2 linked regions of the Danio rerio genome follow. The protein of the gene in region 1 binds, or shares a complex with, the protein of each later gene. Links are inferred from orthologs where the notes say so. Each region holds a gene or a part of one and is shown on either strand. Other genes may lie near its edges.

The links.
Region 2: the proteins of bcar1 (region 1) and sh2d3ca are in contact, whole or in part, in a crystal structure (PDB 3T6G), measured with the Homo sapiens proteins. The link is inferred for Danio rerio from reciprocal best matches to the Homo sapiens genes BCAR1 and SH2D3C. Residues at the interface, in NP_055382.2 of Homo sapiens: Ser739, Gln742, Phe746, Tyr747, Gln750, Asn754, Val779, Ser782, Lys783, Ile786, Leu787, His790, Val793, Phe794, Ile795, Asp797, Thr798, Arg801, Gln802, Ser816, Asn817, Cys820, Leu823, Arg824, Val827, Lys831; in NP_733745.1 of Homo sapiens: Thr543, Val544, Pro545, Val547, Gly616, Val617, Arg618, Glu622, Thr625, Leu626, Pro627, His628, Leu749, Leu752, Leu753, His771, Gly772, Val773, Glu774, Val776, Leu777, Leu780, Glu781, Ala783, Arg784, Ala787, His788.

Annotation. Positions count from the first base shown.
Region 1 is NC_133193.1:23,996,973-24,000,733, forward strand, and holds the start of bcar1 (breast cancer anti-estrogen resistance protein 1), read left to right. Parts: upstream 1-1,024; 5' UTR 1,025-1,249; coding exon 1,250-1,261; intron 1,262-3,761. UniProt on the Homo sapiens protein: Docking protein which plays a central coordinating role for tyrosine kinase-based signaling related to cell adhesion. Implicated in induction of cell migration and cell branching. Involved in the BCAR3-mediated inhibition of TGFB signaling.
Region 2 is NC_133185.1:10,826,227-10,829,887, forward strand, and holds part of sh2d3ca (SH2 domain-containing protein 3C), read left to right. Parts: intron 1-2,555; coding exon 2,556-3,258; intron 3,259-3,661. UniProt on the Homo sapiens protein: Acts as an adapter protein that mediates cell signaling pathways involved in cellular functions such as cell adhesion and migration, tissue organization, and the regulation of the immune response.

The DNA.
Region 1 (3,761 bases):
TTAATTAGCTTTTATTCATTTTTTATTATATTATATTATATTATATTATATTATATTATATTATATTATATTATATTATGTTTTATTTTATATTTTTTATTTAATTAAATTTTTATTTTATTTCATTTATTTGTTTTATTAAAATTGTATTTTATTTAGTTTTATTCTATTCTATTCTATTTTCTATTTAATTTGATTTTCATTTATTTTTATTTAATAATATATATGTATATAAATATATATATAAATAAATAAATATATATATATATATATATATATATATATATATATATATATATATATATATATATATATATATATATATATATATATATATATATATATATATATATAATTAGTCTTTTTAAGCTTCATATGTTTTTTTTATCAGTCTGTTTTTTCTCTGTAGTTTGTGATGCATCTAAATGATTGTACTTTAAAATAGAGACAGGAAATTAATCAAGAACAAAGTTTTGCTTCAGCAATACTCTGAATAAATAGCTATGTAAATAAATCCATAACAAAGCTTTCCATCTCAATCTTCCCAATCCTTCCTTTTCTGAATTGATGGTACTTTAATAATTCAGGCAAGATATATATTGAGATAAAACAGGTTAAACATTTCCAAACACTGCAAATGTCAATAGAGAGTTAAACTTTTGTCTCCTTGAGAATGGATTTACTGCTGGAACAAAAGGATGGGCAACAAAATCAGCAAGCCAAAAAGTTGAGGCTGAAGGAAAGGGTCTAGACAAAGCTGTGTGTTTGTGTGTGATGGCCAAAAAACCCAGTATGTGTGTGTGTGTTTCTCAGGTCTACAGAGAGGTTCACTAAACATTCCTCACAGGCAGGGGGAGGAAGAGTGTAAGGCTCATTAACATAAGAACAGAGTCCTCGGCCAATCGGCAGCAGGGAAAGGGAATGTCAGGATTGAGAAGGAACTGGGAGGGTGTCAGGTTTCCCTGTGCATTCTTCCCTCCTCCTTTTGCCGGAGAGGGTGGGAGAGAACGAGCGCAGGAAGGACGCAGTGAGAGAATCAGCGACTTCAAGAGACAGAAGTATATGGGACAGTCTCGTTCTTGCCCTCTGACATCACGGAATTGGAGTATGTGTTAGAAGCTGACTTTCTGGGAGACGCGGAGAGGTCTGACAAAAGAGTGGACGGTCCGAGTGGGATTTCTTCGGGGGTCAAATCTCAGGCAGTTTAGTGCTGTCTGGAGTCCCAGAGACTCGCACGGCAGGGCTGAAAATGAATTATCTGGTGAGTGTGCTTGCTGTTCTCATTGTTGTGTGAGCACTTTAAGTTGGTTATGCGAAATGCCCTCGGGTGATACTTTCTGAATCAATGTCTTTGTGGACAGCAGAAAAACAAGAGAGTCTTCAAGATTGGCTTTTATCAAGTTTTCTGTCTTATTAGCATTATATGATTTGTTTTTATGGCAGCAGGAGATCAAGTAGCTTGAAAAGCTCTAAAAGAGGCAGTGTAACACTTTTTTGAGAGGCTAGCAGTATATATTTGAAAATGAGTATATATTTCTATTCTTGAAAAGAAAATATTGAGCTTTTTCTTGAGTTTTGAAAGCTGTGAGAAAGCAGGCATAACAGGAGGACGAGTGGACGGAAAAGGAACCCTGCCACTGTTAGCTTCTTCTTTGCTGACTCAGGAGAACGCTGGAAGATTAAGGTTTTTATGGAAAGAAGTATGGAGAAATTTTAGGGAGAAAAGAACAGCGTGACGTGACGGCCGGACCAGTGAAGCATCCATTCCTTGCCATTGTTTGAAATTGCTGGCTCTTGTTCAGCTTGTAAGAGTTGAGAATGACACAGTGCTTAGGTATTTGGACGTGAGAGTTGGGCTGTGCTGTGTTTCCGTATGAGAGGAATCTGGTTCTGGGATTCACCCCCTGCAGAGGCCGGGATATTCCCTGGTCATTAAAATAGACCTTGAAATGGTTATGGGCAGTTATTAATGCAGTTCAGACAGATGATTCTTGGAGATGAGAATTTAGGATTTTCTAGTTAATTTTATTTTTGAAGGCATTTATTATTTTTAATTTGTCTACATATATTGGAAATCTGTCAGTTTAGTCGCTTATTCCATCTGGTGTTAACACGCTTTTAAATGTGTCTTATAAGCAAGTTTGTTATGGTACACTAAAGCTAAGTATGACACTTTGAATTGGTTCACTTTTTTAAATGCATCCTATAATGATTACGTGATATGATATGTAGGTAGTAGCAATAAATGGATGGAAAACCCAAACATTAAAATTTACTCAATATTTACTGACCCTCAAGTGAAACTTTATAATTTTCTCTTTTTTACTTTTTAACATAAATGTGAATATTTTTAATAAATACTTGAAACCCCTATCCATTACTATCCATGGTAGAAAATCAATTGCTATCGATTTCCAACATTCTTCAAAATATTTTTTGTTCAACATAAGAAAGAAATGTATGATTTTTATTGTATGTATATATATATATATATAAATATATATATATATATATATATATATATATATATATATATATATATATATATATATATATATATATATATATGTATATAGAAAATCTGTGAATTGTAGTCCGTTTTCCACCTAAATGTCTCTATGTTACAACACTTACAAATCAGCATGTTATGCTGTTAATGTTAATAAAGCAAAGTATGACAATTTGTATTTGTTTGCTCTTTTACAATGCGTCCCATAATGATCACAGGATAGGCTGGTAGTAGTATTAAAGTGATGGTTAACCCAAATATCTACATTTTCTTAATATTTACTGACCCCTCAAGTGCTCTCAAGTATTTTCAAAACATTACCATTTTCTCTTTTTTTTTTTTTTTTTTTTTTTTTTTTACTTTTGAACATAAATAAGGATATATAAAAAATACTTGACATCTACATTAATATCTACAGTGGAAAATAAATTGTTACTGGTTTCCAACATTCTTTAAAATATGTTATTTTGTGTTTGATGTAAGAAAGACACTCATAAAGGTTTGGATCAAGTGGAGAATGAGTAAATAATAATAGAATTGTCATTTTTGACTGAACTGTCCCTTTAAACTGGTTTATACTGGTTTATACTGGTTTCTCCTGAGGTGGTCCATGATGAAGATGAAAATGGGTGATACGTACTATTGTGAGTGCATAGACTGTTGACTTATTGAGATCATTCTTTAGGTAACCAGGCTGAATCAGTTACTAAGTTAAGAATGTTGAGTCATGTTTTGTTAGGGATCTTTAAATAAGAGAAAGACTCCTTCTTCAGAGGACAGTTGAGTAACCTGAGTCCATCTCTCCCCGTGCATCGCCTCTCTGACTCAAACCCTGACTCACCCTGCAGCTCCTCAGTTTAGGAGAGAGGAATTCCCCACCACTGGCCTGAATCCCACACACTGTCCTGGGGGTCTGACGTACAGGACCAGCTCCTCATCCTCATTATCCTCATACTCGCATGCATACAATCAGCATCAAGTTGTGTAGAAGTAGCGCTGATCTAGTCCAAATTCAGCTCATTTGGTAACATCATGTATAGTTGACTAAAAATAATCTAAGCGCTACAGGAAAACATTTACAGAAGTTTACCTAGAACTAAAAAGGTTGGCAGGTGTGATCAATACTAGAATGTTTTTAGATTAATACTTAACAGAGGAGTGTGCTGATTTATCTAAAGCCATGTTTCCACTAGATAACAACATAGACAGAGAAGCATCTATTGTGACCATGTGTGTTCAGATTTTGAGTCTT
Region 2 (3,661 bases), on another chromosome or scaffold:
CCCATTAAAGGTAGTTAATAACAAAAGATATCCTACATGTTTTTGGCTGTGAGACGTAGTTTGGACGAAGTTGTCGGCGATTCTCCCTATAGTAAAGTCATGCAATGTGAATGTCCATGTCGCCGAACCATCTTGCAGTGTAAACAAAGCAGCGACGAAACGATAGCCCAGATAGTCATGCAGTGTGAAAACATCTGTGACACGACTAGTTTGAAAATCATGCAGTCTGAACTCGGCATAAGTCTTGTAAACTGTATAGTGAACATTATGACACGGTTTCCCTTGCCTTGTCCTGCCATGTTTTAGACCCTTCTTTTGTTTGTTTATTCCTGTCTGCTGCCAGCCTTTTGGCCATTTGCTTCTTTATTTGACTTCGACTCTGGATTGCCTGTGTACATCTGTTTGCCCCTGTGTTGACCTTTGCTAGCCTGACCATCCTGCTAATAAAACCTACGTTTGGATCCGCACACCCTGCTGTCAGTCTTACTTCACATTACAGAAGTAATAGGGTGGAAAAAATAATAAGCTTGTGCTCCATCCTGCTCCATTTCGACCATGTTGAAATGTATTTTTGTTAAAGAGTTTTTCTGTATGATTTTTCTGTTCGAATTAAATAATCAAATCACTATAAACACTGCTACATATAACCCGGGAAAAATCTGAAAAAACTCAACAGTTTGGTTAAAAACATTATAAAAAATGTAACTCAGTGGGTTGATTTACATTTCAACATAGTCGAAATGGAGTGGGATGAAGCACAAGTGTATTATTTTCCCCATCCCATTACCACACACATCATTCGTCTATTACTTCAACTATTTCTTCTTTTACTTATTTTTTCTTTTTACATGAGACATATGAGCTTTACATGAGAAATATTTTTTCCTTTTGGCATCTTTGACATATTACATGTTTCATTCCATTTGTAAGTTTACGTTTTATTACATAAACCTAAAAAAATTGCATAGTATTGCAAACAGCCATTAATTGAAATTTAATGATACCTTTTTCATTTTATAATTTCCCCTCTATTAATTAAAATATTACTTTAATAATATATATTTATAAAACTTTTTTAATTGATTAACTTCCTGACATTGTTTAAGAATCTGTTCCAGACTGTGCCATAATTTCACACCACATACAAACATACACAATTTTTTTAAAGTTGTTCTTATTTTAAACCTTCTTAAAAAAAGATTTTGTTCTCTCAGATTATATACCCTTGTCTTTCTTCAAAAATCTTTTGCATGCATATTAGAAGTAATTGATTCCTAGCTTTAAACATAAATTGTGCTGTTTTTAATTAAATTTATTTTGAGTTTGATTTGAATTTATTGACAGCCATGTATTAACATGTCTCCGTAGTAACACGTATAATCATATCAGCAGGACAGGACGTGTGCAATTTAACTGGAATTAAAAGATCTGTTCAGCTCGCTGTGATCATTGTGATCAAATGTGATCAATAATAAATTTTACAATTTTAAAACGTTTTTAAAACAGTGCATTAGATATATTATGAAAATAAAGAAATAAAGTCAGTTAAAGACCACACCACAGCAGCATGTCAGTACAATTATAAAAAAGACAATTCAGTCCCAATTGTGTGTGACATAGTGTGTGACTCATTGTTGCAGAAAGGCTTGAATTAACTCCAAAACAAATCCATCAAATAATCCATGAGAAAGTTCTTACTGTAGTATTTTTTCGCAAACGTTACGTGAGATCTGCCGCTTTCATGTCTGTCACTGTGCTGTTTATTGTAGGTTTTTGGAGCTTTACAGAAACATTCTGGAGACACCAGAGACTTATCTTAAATCTTAAAAAAGGGTAAAATAGGTGCCCTTTAAGATTTATTAATTTGCAACTGCAAAATACAGTATAGCCTCACATCATGTTTCTTCCTTTAATTATACGTCTACATGGCTGTGTTTCTTTACCCCATCTCCAAAAATACACAAGAACTACATCAATATTAATAATTCAATATGTTTTTTATTTCAGTCTGTCCAATGTCTGAATAAACTCAGTCTGGACAAGACCGCTGAACTAGGCAAGAAAACAAAACCAAAATGGGGTTAAACAGTGATAGTTCTCTGTGAGCTATAATTATTAAGATAAATGAACATAAGTTCCAACAGTGATAAAGAAAACATGTATATGAAAAAAGCTTTTTTTAAGATAAAGCTTTATTTTAAGTATCGCCTTCCTGTTTTCACAGAGTCTTAATTTCCTCCCCTGTTCATCATAATCACTGCTCTTGCATCATGCTATCATTTTAATCAGTAGGAAATATTCTGGCTTCATTTATGAGAAACCGACTTGTTCATATGGTTGTTTTAGAGACTAAAGGGGCCGATGAAGTTTTCCCACAGACAAGGTCAGGGCTTGTATGTTTACTTATGAGCCTGCATATTTTGTTCTCACATTAAAGGAACTCTTGGAATGACAGGGTGCACAGCGGACGTTGCAATCTCTCCTTTTTCACCACAGAACGCTTTATGAAACTCAAATCTGTTTTAACATGCGCAAAATGTTTTCTCCTTTCTTAGGCTTCAAGTGGTTTGGTAGCCTCACCAACCTCCGGCGGAAATCAGATGCGCAGAAAGATGACGAATCAGTCAAAGAAATGTCCACTGACGACATGGGCATGCATCCACGCAGCCCAAGCTATGCCACCTCCAGTGAAATGTACACACACATGGGCACCATGCCACGCCATTCGAAGAAGGACAAAAACTCGAAGAAGAGCAAGTCCAAAGACAAGGCCAACCTCACTCGGAGCCAAAGCTTGAGACCAGACCATGTGGTTGAATCTCCTCTCCTTAGTATGCTTTCTGGAAAGGGGATGGAGGTTCTGGAAAACCCCATTATTGAAGACAAGACGGCTCACATCCAGAATCGAGACCTTCCACCTCCTCCATGTGTGGATGGACACTCAACAAGGCTGGAAGATGAAAATAAGAAGCTTGAAGTAAACTTCAAACATGTTGATGCATCGAATGCATGTCTGGGAGCTTCAATAGAACTATGCGTGAGCCAAGAGTCAACGGTCCAGCCAGTGTTGCCCAAGAAGAGACTTAAAGAAGGAGACAAACTGATGAAGGACACTGAGGAGCTCAAGCAGGACAGTAACTTGATCCAGTTGCCTCAGAAGACTGGCAACCGGATGGAGAAGAAGATAGCAGTAGAAGAAGATGCTAATATAGTGTGGAACTATAAACTTGACGGCCAAGAAGAGAAGGAGTTAAACAGGTAAGAATTCGCTAAGTTCATTGATTCTTAATTTGAACTTTTAGCTACCTATTACTGTATGTACTGCTATGGCAAGCCGTTTTACATTTCTTTCTGATTGCTTAAGCACAATTTTGAAATTAAGACTCATTTTGTCAAAACACTACACACAATTTACACATGACTAATATTGACATAAACATGATTAACACCAGCATTTGTTTTAGATGTTTTCAATTATCTTGTAGTTTATGTCCAGCCTTAGTGATGACATGAGACATTAAACGTCAACAATAATCATGCGAGATAATCATCTTGGTGCAAAAGGCTTTAGTGTCATGCTTATTTAGGTCTATCAATGATAATCTGCCAAGGTACCAGCACAAAAACATCAAAACATTGTGTAATTATTATATGTACACAT